2 linked regions of the Daphnia pulex genome follow. The protein of the gene in region 1 interacts with the protein of each later gene in a biochemical or structural test. Links are inferred from orthologs where the notes say so. Each region holds a gene or a part of one and is shown in the gene's direction. Other genes may lie near its edges. The genes, in order: F-box-like/WD repeat-containing protein TBL1XR1 and E3 ubiquitin-protein ligase Siah1-like.

Evidence for each region.
Region 2: the proteins of F-box-like/WD repeat-containing protein TBL1XR1 (region 1) and E3 ubiquitin-protein ligase Siah1-like form a complex in vitro, tested with the Drosophila melanogaster proteins (2 studies listed by BioGRID). The link is inferred for Daphnia pulex from reciprocal best matches to the Drosophila melanogaster genes ebi and sina.

The regions. Positions count from the first base shown.
Region 1 is NC_060027.1:3,224,686-3,234,835, reverse strand, and holds F-box-like/WD repeat-containing protein TBL1XR1, read left to right. Parts: upstream 1-3,858; 5' UTR 3,859-3,973; coding exon 3,974-4,031; intron 4,032-4,160; coding exon 4,161-4,306; intron 4,307-4,379; coding exon 4,380-4,539; intron 4,540-4,611; coding exon 4,612-4,883; intron 4,884-4,952; coding exon 4,953-5,114; intron 5,115-5,177; coding exon 5,178-5,360; intron 5,361-5,429; coding exon 5,430-5,504; intron 5,505-5,568; coding exon 5,569-6,026; intron 6,027-6,082; coding exon 6,083-6,113; 3' UTR 6,114-6,227; downstream 6,228-10,150. Other genes in the region: intraflagellar transport protein 80 homolog, read right to left, coding at 236-283, 446-569, 676-815, 907-1,029, 1,119-1,290, 1,364-1,511, 1,639-2,009, 2,069-2,317 and 5 more; 60S ribosomal protein L10a-like, read right to left, coding at 6,407-6,577, 6,633-6,805, 6,865-7,013, 7,225-7,380, 7,614-7,618; pyrimidodiazepine synthase-like, read left to right, coding at 8,050-8,188, 8,268-8,373, 8,437-8,659, 8,725-8,863, 8,943-9,058, 9,133-9,264.
Region 2 is NC_060018.1:3,697,498-3,707,236, reverse strand, and holds E3 ubiquitin-protein ligase Siah1-like, read left to right. Parts: upstream 1-3,416; 5' UTR 3,417-3,510; coding exon 3,511-3,587; intron 3,588-3,750; coding exon 3,751-3,952; intron 3,953-4,083; coding exon 4,084-4,141; intron 4,142-4,201; coding exon 4,202-4,441; intron 4,442-4,513; coding exon 4,514-4,706; intron 4,707-4,759; coding exon 4,760-4,937; 3' UTR 4,938-5,259; downstream 5,260-9,739. Other genes in the region: peroxisomal membrane protein 4-like, read left to right, coding at 1-113, 188-287; solute carrier family 35 member E1 homolog, read right to left, coding at 402-518, 582-727, 794-893, 983-1,063, 1,130-1,211, 1,275-1,375, 1,443-1,513, 1,640-1,801 and 2 more; uncharacterized protein LOC124188473, read left to right, coding at 5,451-5,490, 5,551-5,717, 5,788-5,935, 6,108-6,248, 6,313-6,513, 6,580-6,750, 6,816-7,023, 7,088-7,408 and 3 more; exportin-2-like, read left to right, coding at 8,954-9,038, 9,103-9,739. UniProt on the Drosophila melanogaster protein: E3 ubiquitin-protein ligase that is required for specification of R7 photoreceptor cell fate in the eye by mediating the ubiquitination and subsequent proteasomal degradation of Tramtrack (ttk).

The DNA.
Region 1 (10,150 bases):
CTGCGGGAAATGTTGGGTTCTGTGTTGTAGGAGAAACTACACACACACACAAACGTTTGTATTGTTGCATGTAAATACTCGTGACTCGTCAGAAAATGAGCCTGCGTGGTTTGTCTATTCTTTTGGCGCATGCAACGCTCCATCAACGGGCAGTGGCATCAGCAGAGTCAAGTTGGTATGTAAATCTTGGTGGTGGTGGAATTATTTCTACACTCTGCCAGGGTCATCATCATCATCATTCGTCCATGAGCTTTTCTTCAATGGCATCCCAGTCTATGTCGACCTATTGCCAGAGACCCAAAAGAAATCTTGTAAGATTCAGTCTGCCCATCAGCTATATAAGAATAGTATAGTAACGTAATAATATCCGGGTTATTGAATCATTAATTGTATAATCCGATCTAATGATTTTCGAGTAGTGTAGTAGTATGTGCGCGTATATTACTTTCTTGGCGTATTCGATGAAGCGGGGAATGGTCTCGGTCCAGCTGAATTGCTCCAGGTATTTGCGCCGATAGGCGACCACCACGTCGATGTTGGAATCGTGCTTGACCGCCAGCTCTAAAGCTCTGCCCAATTGGATAAAAGAAAAAGATTTTTTTGTTTTTTGTTCAATTAAAAAAAAAGTCGGATGTTGCGCAAATTAGAATATAAAAAAACTGAGGAGTGGCCCACTTTTCGAACTGGAACAGCTGCAAATTCAACATGATGGCTTTGAGAGGCAGTCCAGCCTGGAGCAGGATAGTTTCAGCTTCAGTCCGTCCGTTCTGCAGGAGGGCCGTCTCCGCCTTGATCATGGCCACGTTGTTCATCTTCTAGACGGTTCGAAAAAGAAAAAAAGAAAAATCGTTTTACAACTTGAGTGAATGGGAAAGAGAAGAAGCAGCACGCAAATCTATGTTTTACTTTGATAGCGTCGACGTAGAGGATCTTATCCGTCTCACGAAGGGCTGCGAAAGCTACCTGGGCGGCGTCCAACTGCTTATAATGCACGGCCATGGCCGCCAGGCAGACCCACAGAATTTCCATCTTCATCCGTGCGTACAAAAAGACAAAGTATCAACGTGTTAGAATATTAGATACTGGGCATCAATCTGTCGTTAGGAAAAATATACTACCTTGATGGAACTGCAGAGTCGCTGGGCGCTATCCCATTGGCCGTTGGACACGAATTGCTGCAACTTGGACGGATAAGGCGACAGGTAGACGGGAAAGGTGAGCCCATCGCCACGCTGCAGCGTCACCTGGTGTCCGGTAAAGCTCTCGATCGTAACGTGCTTTCCGTATTCTCTGATTTAAAATTCGAATTCATTTTAAAATTTGCGAGATATTTGGTTTTTGGTTTGGACCAACTGACACGTACCGGATGTTTTGACGAATGGTGAACTTTTCGAGTAATGCTGGATCGTTGGGCACGGCCGGCGGGTAAGGCACCACACACAGTTCCTCTTCTCTAACCATAACCAGCATGGAACAATCGCAATTCCAGGCGAACGACGTCACACCTCCAGCTGCCAAAAAAGAAAAGAAAAGAAGGAAAAACAGTTATACATCAGTCGGAAGAATAAAACGGCGAACTCGGTTGGGTCAGGGTTGGCTGCTGCTGGTGATTGATCACTCGTATAATCGTTCAACTACCAATTTTGAGAGAAGAACGGACTCGGTTGAGGCCCGACGATAATGAAAGCAGGTGAAGGTCGCGGGCCGTGTCCGTGAACGCCAACAGCTGATCCCCCGACGGTGAGCCGGGATCCAGTTCCAGCTTGGTCACTTGTCCTCCGCTGTGGGCCAGCGGCTTGTCGCCGTAGACGGGCTTGCCGGTGCGGTAGTGACAGCAGTGGATCGATTTGCCGTCGCTGGGACTACGGGCGGCTATCACCTCTTTGGCGGCCGTGACGTGATCGGCCGTCAGCATCGTCAGCCGCTGATTGGAGATCCTGGGCGTTCCCTGCAGGGCTCCGTCGTACGAGAAGACGTATAGGATGCCGCAATCCATTATCAGGAAATATCTGAGCCAATGAATCATGTCGTTTCATTCAATTTGATTAAATTTTTTTTTTTAATTTACTTTTCCGTTTGTTTGATGAACTGCGGACACTTGTCCCGCAATTCGACGGTGATGGGACTGTTCCAGCCGTTCTCTTTGTGGATGAGGCAATGCGTCTGGCTGGCCACCAGGAAATGGCCGTAGTTGAAGGACCAGAGGAGGACGTCGTCTCTGAATTCGAGCAGCTCGACCGTCTCGTTGAAATGATCACGCAATTCCAGAGTGTTGGGAGCCATCTTGGTCACGTGATAGTTTCCCCAAGTCAGCCCCCTATGGGATTTTCATTCAACATTCATTAATCTGTCAAGTTTTTAAAAATCCCCCCAACAAAAACTCGAATCGGAAAATGATGGATTATAGCGGAGCATGGATTATTTTTATTTTTTACTTTGCGTATATACACACCCTTTGACCAGATGAGATATTTGGATTCTTCCAGTCGAATTCCCCACCACCAACTGGGATCCTTCCGGTGACCAACAGACGCTCGAAATTCCATCGCCCTCCATAGAGCCCTCGAGAATATCGCTCTGTGTGTCAATCAAACATTTCATGTGAGTAATTAAAAGGCATAATAGGCGGAAAGATTTAGATACCCCGTAAGCGGATGAGACGCAGACGGATGAAAATGTCGTGAAAGCGCAGAAGGCTCCGTCTGGCGACCAGGCGATCGACGTGATGGGATGGAGTCGAGGGTCGCTGTTGAACAACAGCTGGCCCACGGGATCCCAAATCTTAAAGTGGCAATCTTCACTACCGCTAGCGATTAAATGCGATATCGAACTCCAGGCCACCACTAGGACAACGCTGTCGTGGGCTTTCCACTGCAGAGTCTAGTACAGTTATTTCATCGTGATTTAGTTTTGAAAATTACAACAAATTCTTGGCAAGTTATTCGTTGAGATATACGCTAAATGTTTATCTGACCTTACTGGTGGTTGCAAAGGACTGGATGGTCATCAGTTTGCCGGAAGAGTAGAGAACACCGGTAGAGAATGGGGACCAGACAGCCGAGTAGATGGGCGAATCCGCTTGTGTGTGCGTACTCCTCAGCATTCCACTTCTGGACCATATCTTGAGTTGGCCATCTTCGCCTGATGTCAGTAAGCTTGTGCCATCGTGATTCCATTTGGCATTCATGACTGCTCCTTTGTGAGCATCAATAACCCTCTCCGTTCGGCCCGACTTGTGCATTATGTAACATTTTCCTGTGGAGAAAAACGTTCGAATAATTTTTTTTTAAATGAAATAATTGGGGAAAATAGCTTGTTACCATCTGATGTTCCAATGGCAAACATTTCACTGGATCTTTTGCGTTGGTCGATGCTCTGCTGACTGATATTCATGCAGTCTATATCCAAAATGTGAGTGCCTTTATTCAGCGTGATCGTCTTGGCTGAACTGTCCTTGGCGGAGCCATCCCACGAGTGTATTTTCAGATCATCACTAACGCGTTTGACAGGAGAAAACAATTAATTTAATTGTTAGGTTAAATTAAACGACCGATTTGGTGCTTTACTATACCAACCTGTACGTGAAGTATTCGATTTGAGAATTCCATTCGATGAACAAAATATTTTCCGGGAGAACGGACGATATGGCTGCTCTGTCGTGTAAGTGCATGCTTACACGTTTGTAGCTTGTAGCGTTACACTTGAAAGTGGTAAATTTGTTTTTTCTTTTTAACGTGTGTTTGTGATTGTGCTTGAAATCGGTTGTTACGGGTTACGGTTACTATTTTTCTATCCAATTTTGGTTTTCTGGTCATAGATGGCGTTAGCTAACGGTGACTTTGAAGGATTCTCGGAGAAGCTCTTTAGCGCAACCTCAAGCCGAGTCCTGCAAGCTTGCAAAAAAAAAGCGAAAAAAGAATCGCTTTGATAAATAACTTAGTAATTTTTCTCTACTATGTTTGTGTTTTAAAAAATGAGTTTTTCAAGTGATGAAGTTAATTTCTTGGTGTACCGATATTTGCAAGAATCCGGTAAGAGCATCACCATTTCGTTTGGGTTTTTAAGTCGACTGTCCATGGGAATGGTCACTGTGATGAGTTTTTACTGGATGCAGTATTTCGACAAGTGCATTTAACAACTGCGTCGTTTCTTTCAAATAGGTTTTCAGCATTCTGCTTACACCTTTGGCATAGAGTCGCATATTTCACAATCCAACATCAATGGAGCTTTGGTACCGCCAGCAGCCCTTCTCTCCATCATCCAGAAGGGTTTACAATACACAGAAGCTGAGATCAGTGTTGGAGATGTGTGTGACAATTGAAATATGATAAAGTTTGTCTATCACAACATTTTTACTCTTTTATATTTTTGGTTTTCAGGATGGTTCTGAACGACCCATGGAAAGCTTATCACTCATTGATGCTGTGATGCCTGATGTTGTTGCAAGTCGTCAACAGCAAATGCAGAACAATCAGAAACCACAAGTGGTAAAGACAGAACCACCAAATTCCAATGGAGATGAACCCATGCATTCCTATCGTAAGATAGTCAATACTTTTCCTTGATCCCCTGAACTGCTTACTTATTTTCCCTTTAACTATTTCTTATTAGCCAACCCCAATGAAGGCCGGGAAGAGGAAACAGGAGTAGAGATACCTGCCAGCAAATCAACTGTACTTCGTGGCCATGAATCTGAAGTTTTCATCTGCGCTTGGAACCCGACAACTGATTTATTGGCTTCCGGCTCTGGCGATAGTACTGCCAGGATTTGGAACATGAATGACAACTCGTCTTCACCAACTCAACTTGTTCTTAGGCATTGCATTCAGAAGGGTGGAACTGAAGTTCCGAGCAACAAAGATGTCACCTCACTTGACTGGAATGTATGTTATTTCTTATACCTTAAGCGCCAAATAGTTGGCTGTGTAATAACAGTGTTCTTTTTTTTTTAGTGTGATGGAACTCTTCTTGCAACTGGCTCTTACGATGGTTATGCTCGCATTTGGACAACTGATGGAAGATTAGCTAGCACTCTGGGACAGCATAAAGGACCTATTTTCGCACTAAAATGGAACAAAAAGGGCAACTATATCCTCAGTGCTGGAGTCGACAAAGTAGACCTAAGTTTATATTTTTTTAAACGAAAACTGTTGATATTTATGTATTTCTTTCATTAGACGACCATCATTTGGGACGCTTCAACGGGCCAGTGCACGCAGCAGTTTGCTTTCCATTCCGCCCCAGCACTCGACGTAGATTGGCAGTCGAATGTCAGTTTTGCCTCATGCTCCACTGACCAGTGTATTCATGTTTGTAAGTTGGGCAGTGACAAGCCAACCAAATCCTTCCAAGGACATACGGTAACAATATTCTAATTTCTCTTGCGAATTTGTGAATGATTAAAAAAGGAATATTTTTTATTTCTCTAGAATGAAGTAAACGCTATTAAGTGGGATCCTCAGGGTAATCTTTTGGCTTCCTGTTCTGACGATATGACGCTCAAGGTAATGTGCAAGTTCATTCTTGTCAAAAGACAATCAAATCAAATGTGTCCGATCCTTTTCCTAGATATGGTCCATGAAACAAGACACTTGTGTTCATGATTTGCAAGCACACAACAAGGAAATCTACACCATAAAATGGAGTCCTACCGGCCCTGGAACAAATAACCCAAACATGAATCTGATTTTGGCTAGCGCTTCGTTTGACTCGACCGTTCGATTGTGGGACGTCGAGCGTGGGTTGTGTATTCATACCTTAACCAAGCACACCGAACCAGTGTACAGTGTCGCATTTTCTCCCGATGGCAAATACCTAGCATCTGGTAGCTTTGACAAATGTGTACACATCTGGTCTACTCAGGTACATAATAGTTTCAAAGTTGAAAACCTAAACAAACTACATCTTTATTCTATTTTTCTTAGTCGGGGCAATTGTTACACAGTTACAAAGGAACTGGAGGCATTTTTGAAGTTTGCTGGAATTCTCGGGGCGATAAAGTTGGAGCAAGTGCTTCTGACGGAAGTGTAAGTTTGGTTTTTTCTAACTCATTCGATTTGTTTTAATTTTTTTTCATTTCTAGGTATTTGTTTTGGACTTGCGAAAATAAATAATTCAACGCTTCAACATTTTCTGCAATTCCAGTTGTTTCATGATTCTTATTATCTTTAAGGTTCATTACATCATTTGTATCATTTAAGGAAAAACAAAATAAAAAATTTCAATTTATATGGATAAATTTGAAGGTTTATTTAAGGTTTTAATTTCTATAAATTAAACAATTATTTTCAAATATTTTAATGAATTATTTTTATCTTATTATTTAACTTTAAAGACATTTAAACAACAAAAGTTTCTTTCGCGAATTGTTCACGTTTATTTGCAAACAATCACATGCGTGGTACAACTAGTACAAGCGCTGAGGAACTCCCATGGTGGTCTTGATGTGAATGGAACGAACGTTCTGCCAGTGTTTCTTGAGCAGCGAAACCAAGAAGTTGATGGACAAATGGATGTTTTGGGCCAAATCGTCAGCAGACATGGTGACGTGTCCGACAGCAACGCAGAGACACAAGACCTATACATGGATACGTTTAGTTCGTGTCGAAAATCTACTAGTTGTACCAACATACCTTCTTCATCTGGAACTTGATGGTGCCCTTGACTTCTTCCACCTTCTGAACCATAGAATCAGAGTGGGTGAGAGGACCAGGGAACTTGCCAGCCTTGTTCAAGCCAGGGCCCAACAAACGAGGAATCTGCTTGATAAGGGCCTCGCTGGCGAGGAAAGCATCATATTTCTTGGCTGTATGAAGAAAGTGATGGATTAGTTACGCTTCACTTGAAAAAGGTATCAAAACCTACCCAATTGCTTTACAAGCTTCTTGTTCTTGTTAAGCTTCTTCAAAGCCTCAGCATCCATGCAAGGAAGGTTGTTGGCATTGGCCTCATCACAATGCTGCTGGTCTCCCAAGATGCATACTTTCATAGCAGGCCTGGGGATGTGCTTAAGCCTGAAGAGATATGACAATTAACAATTTGACTCTACCTTATACTAAAACCCAAGCCATTCCAAATACCAACCACAAGGCATAAAACCTTGCATAATGTTTGGAAAATTGACTTGCGTCAAAATTCCTCCCCACATATTTAAAATGACCCTGGGTGAGGGTCATCGTCAGACTAAAGTCCAACTCCCCAACAATGTGGGTTTGTAGTTCTTACTTGACGGTTCCGGAGAAACGCTTATCCTTTTGGGGATCGTAGTTCTTGAGACCAAATTGAATTTCAACAGTCTCGGTAAACTTCCTCTTCTTCTCTTTAGACTGCGACAACATGTTGTTGACAGCCTCGTACAGCGTATCACGAGATACCTTGGACCTGTGCAAAAAATATAAATGAATGCAAACATATTGAAAACCGAACACGCCATTCCATGCAGAGAAACCAAATGTCGACCGTGTTGACTTTTAATGAATTTTTTAAATAGCACAGGATTTTGACTTTTAACATAATACAATAGTTTGCCAACAGCTACTTCAACGCTTAATCCAACCAACAATAAACAATAGTTTAAAATTAAAAGATGTTTTACGTTAAAAACGATAACTTACGACATGGTGAAGTGCCTTGGCAAGTCCCTTGGAACAAACGCTTCCAAATGAAGGACCGAACTTAGATGTTGTCGGATATCTTTATGTCCTTCTTCTTCTCTTCCTTTCCCTCATAGTTGCCAAATCAAAAGAAGAAATGTCATAAAGTTATTTTGAAATAGTATCATTCTTAGTTTAAAATATACGGATTGGTTTTTAAAATTCCGATTATTATTTATGTTATATTTTTATATTTTACTTTTTAGGTAATCGTGACCTTTTTCCACATTTAAAGCAGTAGCAGACAGCTTCAGGATGCTTCAGGCAGCTTCAGGTACCGGTAGCGGTAGTATTGCTCTGGCGGGCTGAATTTAAAAGAAAGCTAAATTGCGCAGTCCAATATCAATAAACAATCGGCCTTTATAGCCTTTACAACTTACTTATCAGCTAAAGTTTCATGTCCATTCTTAGAACGTTCGCGAAGAGGGCGGTAGAGAAATCTGAAATCTTTCTGTGTTCGAAAACTTGGTTTAGATCAAACAACAACATGAGTGGAGTATTTTTTCCTATTTCTGAAACCAAACATCTTGCTCCAGGTAACCTTGACTTGATATTAATTGCTTTACATGACATCCCAGCAACATTGTGTGATATTTTCATTGTGATTGACAATAGGCTCAAAATGTCCTGAAGTAACACCAGGTCTGATGCGATTGTATAATATGAAATTCTGCCCATATGCTCAGCGGACCAGACTAGTTTTAGCTGCCAAAAGAATTCCGTAAGCCAATGTTTTTGTAAATACCCCAAAAATTATTCCATCATTTGTCTTTGTTTTTTTCAGAAATGAGGTTGTAAATATAAACTTGGTTGCAAAGCCTGATTGGTATTTTGCTAGAAATCCACTTGGCAAAGTTCCTTGCTTGGAATTTGATGGGAAAGTGATATTTGAAAGTTTAATCACTTGCGACTATCTTGATGAAGTGTATCCTAGTTCACCAATGCTGAACAGTACTGATCCTTTTCGCAAGGCACAAGACAGGATTTTGATTGAAATGTTCAATGCGGTATTAAAAAATTGTTTTTATTCAAATACTTTCTTTGAAAATGATACATATTCTCAAATCATTAGGTCAATAGTAACTTATATAAACTATACCGCTGTAGTTTGGATGATGAGTCCACTTGGAAAGGAGCAATTGTTGGTATCCACAAGGGTTTACAGATTTTCGAAGATGACCTAGCAAAACGAGAAATAAAATTTTTTGGAGGTAGGTAGATTTCATTTAGCTGAATTTTTTTTATTAATTTTTATTTTTAAATAAATTCATGAAAATGATTTGATTCTAGGTCAGAATCCTGGGATTGTAGATTACATGATATGGCCTTGGATGGAGAGATTGCCTTCATTGCCTATTTTGAGCCATGGGATGCTAAAAGTTCAAATGGAAAATTATCCTTCTTTGGTAAATAATTTTTAAAGACCATTACAGCATGTGTGTAGTGATTTTTCATCATACAAAAATAATTTTAACAACAGATAAAGTGGTTTGATGCCATGAAAGAAGACGATGCGGTCAAAGAAAGTTTCATTTCTCCTGAAAATCACGCAAAATTTATTACAAGTTTTCTAGCTGGGAATCCGGAATATGACATGGAAATCAATAAATAAAGTAGTTAAGACAAATTTTTTTATTCCAAAATGGAAAGTATACAGTTAATGCTTAATCAGGAAGATTAAACTGGAAGTATTCAGACCACAAACATTTTAAATAAGCATCTCTTCCCTACGGTTGTTTCAAAACGTATCTTAATTCTGGTTGTTTGCGTGGTCGCCTGCTTCAGGATCATGATGGAAGAGACTATCAGCTTTTTCTCGGAGATGCGAAGCCTTTTCTTCTATCAAAAACCCAGAGTGCTCCAGTAATTGGATCCAAGTCTTTGGAGGTACTCTAGTTAACAAACCATGTTTGACTAACCATTCCTCTAAAGTTTCATTTATTCCAACCGGATCTTCTTTATCTTCCGGTCTTGACAAATCAGATTGTGCTTCCTCTTTCGCACGTCTTACAGCTTGTTTCAATGTTTTCAGAGCTTCAGTCAGTGCTGCAGCTTGTTCAGTGACAAGAGCTTCAGCTTGTTGTCGGGCAGTGGCTGCAGACTGTGCAACTTCATTTTTCTCATCGGTTAATTTCAATAGCAGTTCTTTTTTATTGTGAGATTGTTCCGCCAAAGTTTTGAAATCTTCTTTGCACAAGTTTAATTATCGTTCTAATTCCAGAATCTTTTGGTCTACTTCCATGACCGCGGATTTTTCTTGATTACATTGAGCTTTCGAGATGGATAACTCGTTTTTTGCTCCATCCAAAAGTCTGGACTTTTCGTCGGTTTCCGTTTTAGCGAGGTTAACCGCATTCATTAGTGCGGATTTTTCGAGTTCGAGAATAGCTTTTTGGTTGTCAAATCGCGCTCTTAATTTAGTCAACTCGATTTGTGCTTCATCTAATAGTCTGCATTTGCCTCTGGTTTCTAGTTTAGCAAAGTTAACAGCATCATCT
Region 2 (9,739 bases), on another chromosome or scaffold:
TTTGCGAAACTTGCTGTTAAAGAAGGTTATATCAGCAAGCCAAATTTCGAAGTTTGGCCTTGGTTTGCTGCTTTTGTTTGGGGATCGGTTTTGTGGCTTTTCGAATTCCATAGGTATGGATTAAATAACTACATTAAAGCAATAGATTATGAAGGCTAATTTAACTTTGGTTTATAATCTTTTACAGGTGGACATTGCAGGATAGCTTGAGAAGTTCTATGGTCTATCTGTATGATGACTCAGATGTTTTCAGCAATTTGAAGAATTTTCTTTGGCACAATAAGTGAAATCTACAATGAGATTTTAAAAGGTTTCTTAATTATATATAGACTGGGTTTGTTTTGGTATGTGGAATATTAAGAATATATAGGGATATTTTTTTTGTATTTAAACTGTGTACATTATATGTGCTGGAAGCGATTCAGGGCAAACTTGTGACCAACAACCCCTCCGTTGCTATGATCAACGAGAGGTAAAACAGTAAGTTTCTTCTTTTGTAAGTTGGCATCATATTTTGCCTACACGAAATTATATCTCGGTTAATTTCAGGTTATTATGTCGCAATTATATGCTAAGATTACTTTATTGTAGTAGAGAACACCGAAAATGGCAAGTGCCATTCCTGCCACGTTTGTAGAGGTCACCGGATTGCGCAACATGAACAGCGAAAAACTGATCACTGCGATTCGTTTGGAGGCATTGGCCACAGCGTAAGTCAATGGCGTAACTAATAAATAACCCCGAAATAAATTAAAACATGCTTGAGAAATCTCTTTCTAAAAATAATCCCCACCTAAGTGAAGTAAACTGAAGGCCACTACGTTCTGAAGCCAATTTAACAGTCCATCGAGAAAGAGGTAGGTGAAAATCATGAACATATTAGTCTCCGGTTCCTTTAACAATAATAAAAAAAAAAAATTATCGTAAATGTTGTGGCAGAAAAACCATTCATAAAGAGCTTTCTGAACTCCTCGTCACTTACGATGTTTGTGTGTTGAATGATTTTCCATAAATCAAAAATTGCCCACACTGGAGTGAACATCAGTAGAGCAAGTTGGCCTAACTAGAACAAATAATTCATGAAATTAAGCCATGTACCGAACAACCAAACACAATATTAATGTAATACCATGTGAAGGAGTCTCAAATGATGGACTCCAGTGTCGTGTAAGACTTTTTTACTAAAAATATTTTGCAAGCTGAAACCGCACCTAAGTTTGAAAAAAAAAATGTGTCAAATTGGACAATAAATAAGTTAAATTTTCATTTCGTACGTCGCTACTAAAGCACTCCACATTCCGATTACATCGAAAGATATTTCAGTAACGGTAGCTATTGCCACTCCCATGATGATTGGAATCAAAGATAAATAGACCTTGAAATGAAATAAACAGTACATTAATTGGATTACTAAATGTCTAGATGAAGTGAATTAAAATTACAGGTAATGTTTGTTTTTCTCCCATAAGGACCCTGGACAGTACCACTGTGAATAGTGGCATTGAGGCTTTCACTATTATAGTAAACAAATGGGCATTAGCAAAAATAATGTATATATCTTAAAGTACAATCAAGCTTAATTTAAATTCGGTTATTTGTTGATGTATATTTTTATAGGAGCAGTCTACTGGCTTAGTACCTGTGTGGGCAAATGAAACAGGAACCTTCCATATACTAATATGGGAGAAGACCGATGAAAGGAACTTTCCAAATGCAAGAGGGATGATCAATTTCCAATAGTAATCTTTTGAAAAGCTGCTTTGTAGGCCTGGGCGAATATTCCAGCATTTTAGAAGAGGACCTAAGGGAAATTAGGAACAACAAAACTATTTATAAAAAAAACTACAAATTAATAAATTAAATAAATCATTAAATTAAAAACCAGAATAAAGAGAAATGGAGAGCAGCTGGACCATTGTTAATGTCATTGGATAAGGGAATTCGTTTAAAACCCATTTCCCAATTACATTGTTGCTGGATGAGATGAGATACCTTTAAGGAATGGAAAAACAAACTTAAAGCTGACCTGGTTCAGATCAAAATAATTGAAGAAATGGGAGCACAAACCAGAAAACACATAAAATAACAATACGGGTTGCTTCACGTATTTGTCGACGATCCGTCATGATTGATAATCAATTGAACTAACTGTACAACTTATATTACGGTAATATTTTCACTTTCACGTCATTTAATGTAATGTCAAAGTGTGCAAACTTAAGATCAACAAACACACCGAATAGTGATCGGCGTTCCAGCAGCTGAATAAATTATAAAAAAAAATTCCACGTCGGACGAAGCGGTTGCCATGGGAACTAATGTCACTTTAATCTTTCGTTTCATAAATTATTTTGCGGAAATTTTTTTATCTGGAAATTCTTTAAAAAAATTCTTTCAATTATTGACAAAATATTCTTAAGATGTTTCGAATTTTCTTTCATTTATGAGAAATAGAGCAACTTGGGCGTCCCTAAACTGCGAAAGCGAAACGCGAAACGCGAAACGCCTAAAATGCGAAACAGCTGTGCGAAACGGACCAAAATTTTGGAACCGTTTCGCGGGACCAAATGCCGGAGGGCATACTAAAGAGCGAAACATCTTGCGAAACAAATAGTTTTCCTTTTCCCCACAGAGGTCCAAATTGACGGAGATTGCCGCCATTTTTCATTGTCTCCCGCTATGATGAGGCATTAAAGGAGGAAGGGGGGCAATCAAATTCGATTTCTTCGCCACTACCCCTGTATGTTTTAATGCGCATTTTACGATTATTAAACTAATGAAAGACATAGAGCAGCACGATATGGTGATATTTTTAAATAATAAAATATTAGGTAATGGCCCAGGGATTATACATTACATTAAATAATTTTAATCAACCAGTAGATACGTGCACAAAGAAATAATCGGTCATAACAGTATGAGTGCCTTATATCAAGCTAAAAATCAAAGCTACCATGTTCCAAATCAAGCTAAAATTTAATCAACTAAAACTTCCCTTAAAATTAAGAATGTTAATCTGATTGATACTGATACATGGAAACGAGAAGTTCCATAAATTTTTTTATACCAATCTTCTAATTAAAAACACCTATTGCATATTGCATTCAAGGTATTCCGTATTCATAGTCAACACACAAATAGACCAGCCATAAGGTGCGCGAAACTCGAAGTCTCGAAAATTTGAAACTCTTAACAATTTTTTTGTTGACGGCGTCCATTGTCGTCTGCTACCAAGACGTTTACACTGCGACGTTTCGCAAACACCGATTTCGCAGTTTAGTACGGACCCAAAGACTAAAATGCGAAACAGGGTCCCAACTTTTGGGTCCGTTTCGCACAGCTGTTTCGCATTTTAGGCGTTTCGCGTTTCGCGTTTCGCTTTCGCAGTTTAGGGACGCCCGAGCAACTTGCAGTCAGCTGCCTGCTCAAGATACTGTTTAGCCGTCCTTATTTTATTTACTCAATGTTGTCAACGAAGAACCCTTGTTGAGATCACGGAGGCCACCTTCTATGCCTAAAAACAACAGTAAATTCTATACTGAATTAATAAGAACGTTTCCAACATCCTGCAGTGATTCTAATCTCAGGTTTGTTGTGATTTTCATGAAATAAGCAGATAGGATATTAATGAGAGAATGAACTTTAAACATGATAAAAAAGATGGTTTAGTTTCTCCATTTTTGTCTGGCTAATACCACCTCATGTTGTGTTAACAAGTGTGTGAGAATGTATTGTTTTTGTTTTGATCAGCAGGATGAGTTTTCTCAAGCAAGAAGGTTCCAAAAGTCGTTCAAGTATTTCAAGTATTTCTTCATCCACATCCACACTTGGCTCTGGATCAGTCTCTGGTTCTACAGTAGCTTCCTCAGCAGACTTGGCTAGCTTCTTTGAATGCCCAGTTTGTTTCGAGTATGTTCTTCCACCAATCCTACAATGCCCAAGTGGTCATCTGGTATGATTTTGTGTGTTTTCTTGTTACATAAATATTTTAGACCATCAACTAAAATTTCTCAAATATTCTTCTTTCATTACCTAAAAAAGTAGATTTCATTGACTAAATAATAATTTCAAACAATTGTGTAGGTCTGTTCCAACTGTAGACCAAAACTCACCTGCTGCCCAACCTGCAGAGGACCCTTAGGTAGAGATTGACCAGAACAAATATTTAGTGCCCAATTCTTAAATAAATGTTGATATTTAGGCAATATAAGAAATTTAGCTATGGAAAAAGTGGCTTCCACAGTTTCTTTTCCTTGCAAATTTTCTACTTCTGGATGCCAGTTTACAATGTTGCACACAGCTAAAGGAGATCATGAAGAGACTTGTGAATATCGACCTTATTCTTGTCCGTGTCCGGGGGCGTCCTGTAAATGGCAAGGAGCTTTAGAGCAAGTAATGCCCCATTTGCTCAATCAACATCGATCTATCACGACTCTCCAAGGTTGATACATTTTTTAAAAAACATTCAATCCAACATTTATTAACTATTGATTTTAAACTTGTTTTGTTTCAGGAGAAGATATTGTTTTTTTAGCAACAGATATCGCACTCCCCGGCGCCGTCGACTGGGTTATGATGCAATCTTGTTTTGGTCACCATTTTATGCTAGTGCTGGAAAAGCAAGAAAAATATGACGGGTTGCAACAATTTTTTGCTATCGTCCAATTGATTGGCACAAGAAAGCAGGCCGATAACTTTGCCTACAGGTACGTTCTAAAACTCCAATATATTTCATTGACTCATGCGTTAATTATCTTAGATTGGAATTGAGCGGTCACCGTCGACGGTTAACGTGGGAAGCGACGCCACGATCCATTCACGAAGGCGTATCTTCCGCCATTCTAAACTCGGACTGCCTCGTTTTTGACACCTCTATCGCCCAGTTGTTTGCTGAAAACGGCAATTTGGGTATCAATGTTACCATTTCTATGTGTTAATTTACTCCGAATTTGAGAGACACTCATTATTTTCTCTCGCCAAATAAGTTTGGTTGTGCTAATTAATTTCCTTTTTTCCCCCGTCGAAATGACAATGGCTCATTTTTAAAAATCGTGTTTCCCGTCTTTCGCATGTGTGTTACCGTATGTGCATGGACATCACAATTCGCGAACAAGTGAAACAAAAAAACTGTTGTAAACGACCGTTTCCCTTCCCCTCTTTCATTAATTTTTTTTTTGTTCGAACAGAATTTTCTCTCATGTTGCCTTGTACAGTTTTGCTATTGCGATCAATGATCAATTATACGGCTCCATGTTCAAACGAAGCAATTCGTCAATTTACGCAATTATACGATAAGATTATGTTTCATGGTGTGCGATGAATATGTGATAATGTAGGTGACGACCATGGTGTCAGGATCTGATAAGAAAAGGTCTCAGTGCCATTTTTTCCTCAAGTGATAACTGAGATATTTTTATAATTGTAGATTGTGACGCACAGTTGAAATCGAAATGGCGACGAGGATGTTGTTAATAATATGCCTGCTTTATGGTAAGACGAATAAGATATTTAAAATTTTCTTTTGTTCTAAACGTTTTGTGTTTGCTTTAGTGGGATTGACTGGAGCAGAAGATATTGATTTTGGTGACCCGAACACTTGTACTCTTCAAAATAAGGAATGTCAAGTAGACTTGAAGGTAGATTGTCAGAGTGAACTGTCTGGATTTATACAGACTCCCAATTTTCCAACCAATATGAATAATGCCCAATCCGGAAAGGTAAAGAAATCAAGAACCGGGTTTCATGTATTTTATTGCATACATAATTTATTTTTAACAATTGTTCTAGTACCGACTAACAATTTCATCGTGTGAAAATTCACAAATTACCTTGATCCTGACGGACGAGGATTTTTTTCTGGGACCAGATACTAACACATTTTCGGTCGGTAACGGTCTTGTAATTGGTGCTAACAATATCCCACCGGAGCTGAGGGGTAAGGAATCCAATCTTTATAGATAGAATATACTACTAAATATATTATAGATTTCAATAATCGCCGCTTGTAACCAAGTTGATCCCCAAAAAACACAATCGCACAAATTTCATCAGGTTGATGGGTTGTTCATGTAGTCTACGATATTACCTAAAAATAAGGTTGTTATTAGGTTCTAGTGACGGTGGAAACGAGCTACCAAATGGTGATCCGACCTATGAGTATGAAAGTGCCTCCAATGAACTGTGGATGGAGGCCAACCTGATGGCATATCGGTCAAACTTCAAAATCCAATACAACATTACAGTCTTGAGTATAAACATATATTATTTGATTTGCATTGACAATTTCAAATTAAATTATATCCTTATTTATAGCTTCAAATATCCACAATTATAACGAAACGTCAGGAAATATGACTTCTCCCGGTTATGGAATATCTTACCCATCTCAAACAACAGAAGATATACATGTGATTGATGTCACAGATGTGGCAGGGGAATATGTGGACCTGTTACTCACAGTTAATGTACTGGACATTGCAGGCATCAACGGGGACTACATCACACTTGGACCTGGTTATTCTCCTAGTTCTTGCATATTTATTGTATTTAAAAAAATTCGTATTTTTCGCTTCGTTACAGGGTCGGAACCTTCGGTTGATAAGAGCGCAGTTGTCCTCTCGTGGCGTGTTACCAAAGGAGTTCAATTTTTGATTGATGGACCTAAAGCTCATTTAGTTTTTAATGTTTTACGACCCGCCGACGCTGAACAGGTTTCCGCAAAAGGATTTTTCATCTCCTACCAAGTGATTGGTAATTACAACACCAGTAGTTGATGGTGACGGTAAAATATAAATTTTTTTGTTTCAATTATATAGAAAAGAATTTGACAACAGCAGCGCCCATGACCACACCTATGCCTACAAGCCCCACGCCTTTGCCATTTGATCCAGATATCCTTTTAACTGATGTCGTCTACCACACATATGTGGGCGCCGAAGCATCTTCACAGCTGGCAGAAATTTTGCAGATGTATGCCGAGTCATCTGGAATGCTGGAAAAAGGCGAAATAGTTCCTAATTTAACGTAATAAGCGATTTTTCTTCTATTCCATTGTTCATGAAATATTGAATTAAATTGTTTTCCTTAGTGCTGTCGGTACTGTCCAAATAGTTCAAGTTGAGAACTGTTATCATGGATGGAATGTCGATATGGACATCTGCGGTCTGACGCATGTGATTGTCCGCGCGTTTTACCAAAAAACAGGAGAGACTGATGTCACTTACGCCTTTCCGACCGAAGAAGTAAAAAAAGCTGTAAGGGAGTATGGCTACATTCACGAAGTCGTCCTGCCAGAAGACTTGGCCAACTTGTACTGGATCTTTGTTGGTGTCGTCCTCATTCTAATTATTTTAATCCTCATTGGGTTATTAATTGTCTGGCGGCAAAAAATGCGTCGTGACGCTAAAAAGTAACAACATTTTTCATTAGATATTTTTGAAATTACCGTAGACATAATTATTTTAATCATTTATGATTATTTAATTTTTTTTGGGTTAGGCGAAGAAAGTATCACGAAATAAAAAATGATAATCATTCCGTAGGTGCCGACAGTGACATTTCTATCACAGGCGTTGGCAAATCAAGTCGCTTCGAAATGAATTCTGGTGTTGATAATCCAAATTTCGTTATTGACGTAAGTTGTTGGCAACACATTTATTGTGTTTATCCTGAATTCAAACTCATTCGTTAATTTAACAGGAACAAGAAAATGGTCGCCCCGTAATGGTTTACGATCCGGAGAAAGGAACATTTTATTCGCGAAACAGTCACAGACCTACTTATCAAGTAAGAAATGTGGATCAGGGACCAGCTCGATCAGCGGCTGTACTGAATGTTTCACCCATCACCAGCGGTTTCCAACGGCAGAATGGAAGCAATAGAGATCAAATAGCGAATGAGGGAAACGATATGTCATCTATCATGCCACCACTTCCCACCGTACCTAAACGTGGAATCTTGAAGACTAAATCTAGCAGCAGTCCGACCAACCGCGAGTTTCCCAACATTTCTTCTATTCCAATGGAAGAGATGGAAGATGTTGTATTCGACAACGATACCTTTAAAAACATGCAACAACGTCGATACTCTCCTGCGTCTTCATCGTCGGATACGATAACATCTTCATCAAGGTCTAGTAGAGTGAACTCCATCTCCACGGATCAACAGTATGAATTGCATGATGTTGTACAATTTTAAAACAATATTCGTACATTCTTTGTTTCAGGATTGGATCACATGTTTTGTACGGTATCACATTGACGGATTTTGATTCAGAAGAAGAAATTGAAACTAATTTTTAAAAACAATTTAATAATCAACGCCTTATTATGACGCCTTATTATTTTATTATTATTTTTACTTATTCGTCTTTAAGAGGCCCATTTTTAGAATTGTAATTGATTTTCGCAGACAAGACATTTAATAAATCAAATAACTGAATTGAATTTTACTGTTATTAGTTCGAATTCGTGTAAAAAATAGTAATTTCGTAATTTCCCGCTTTACGCCATCTAGGTAGTGGTTATGTCATTACGTCTGTAAAACATTTTCTATTTCCACCGACAGGCAGAAAACTTCGTTCAGACGATTTTTAAATCTAGAGAAGTCATTTTCAACCGTTCACTCACAAATTTTCAGTAAGTTATTTTATTATATTCGTCGGAATTACAATAGGAATAAGTTTGTATGAATGTTTTGTTGATAGATGTGCTTAGAAGTAGTTGTCAGGTGAGACAAAGTATTTTTAAAATCATTCTGGTTATTTCTATTTGACCATGTGCTATAGTCATGCACAACTTAAATAGGGAAGTAAATTAAAACTAAATCAGTTGGTTGTAACATCGGTACATCTTTTAATAATTTCCCTCCGAAATTCTGAATGATGTTTCAGTGTCTTATGAGCCTCATACTGAAATGATGATTCACGATTTTCTTGTATTCTTGTGTGACAGGAATGGAGATCAATGATGCAAATTTATCAGAACTATTAGGTCATCTTCAAAAGACGCTATCACCTGATGGAGTTACGAGAAAATCAGGTATATTGCACAATTATTCTTTGTATTGACATAAATGCATGATTAATGTTTTTTTCATCAATAGCTGAAAAATGCCTTGAAAGCATTGAAGGAAAACAAAATTACCCACTGCTGCTTTTAAATTTGGTGGATAAAGATGGTGTTGACATGACACTGAGAACAGCTGGAGCTGTGACATTCAAGAATTACATTAAACGAAATTGGAAGGTTGAAGAAGATGCAGTAGATAAAATCCATCACTCTGATCGGGAAACTGTCAAACAGTTTATCATCAATTTAATGCTCAAAGCTCCTGAATCTATTCAACGCCAGCTCAGTGACGCTGTTTCAATTATTGGTCGTGAAGATTTTCCTGCAAAATGGCCAAATTTAATTCAAGAAATGGTGGACAAATTTGGCACGGGTGACTTCCACGTTATTAACGGTGTGTTGCATACTGCCCATTCCATCTTTAAACGTTATCGCTACGAGTTTAAGTCTCAAGAATTGTGGACTGAAATCAAATTGGTTTTGGATAACTTTGCCAAGCCACTGACAGACCTGTTTATTACGATGATGGGTTTGGCTGCGCAACATGCTAATAATCCGGCAGCTGTAAAGGTCATCTATAATTCCCTGACCATCATTTGCAAAATTTTCTATTCGCTGAATTTTCAAGACTTACCCGAGCATTTTGAAGACAACATGAAATCATGGATGGA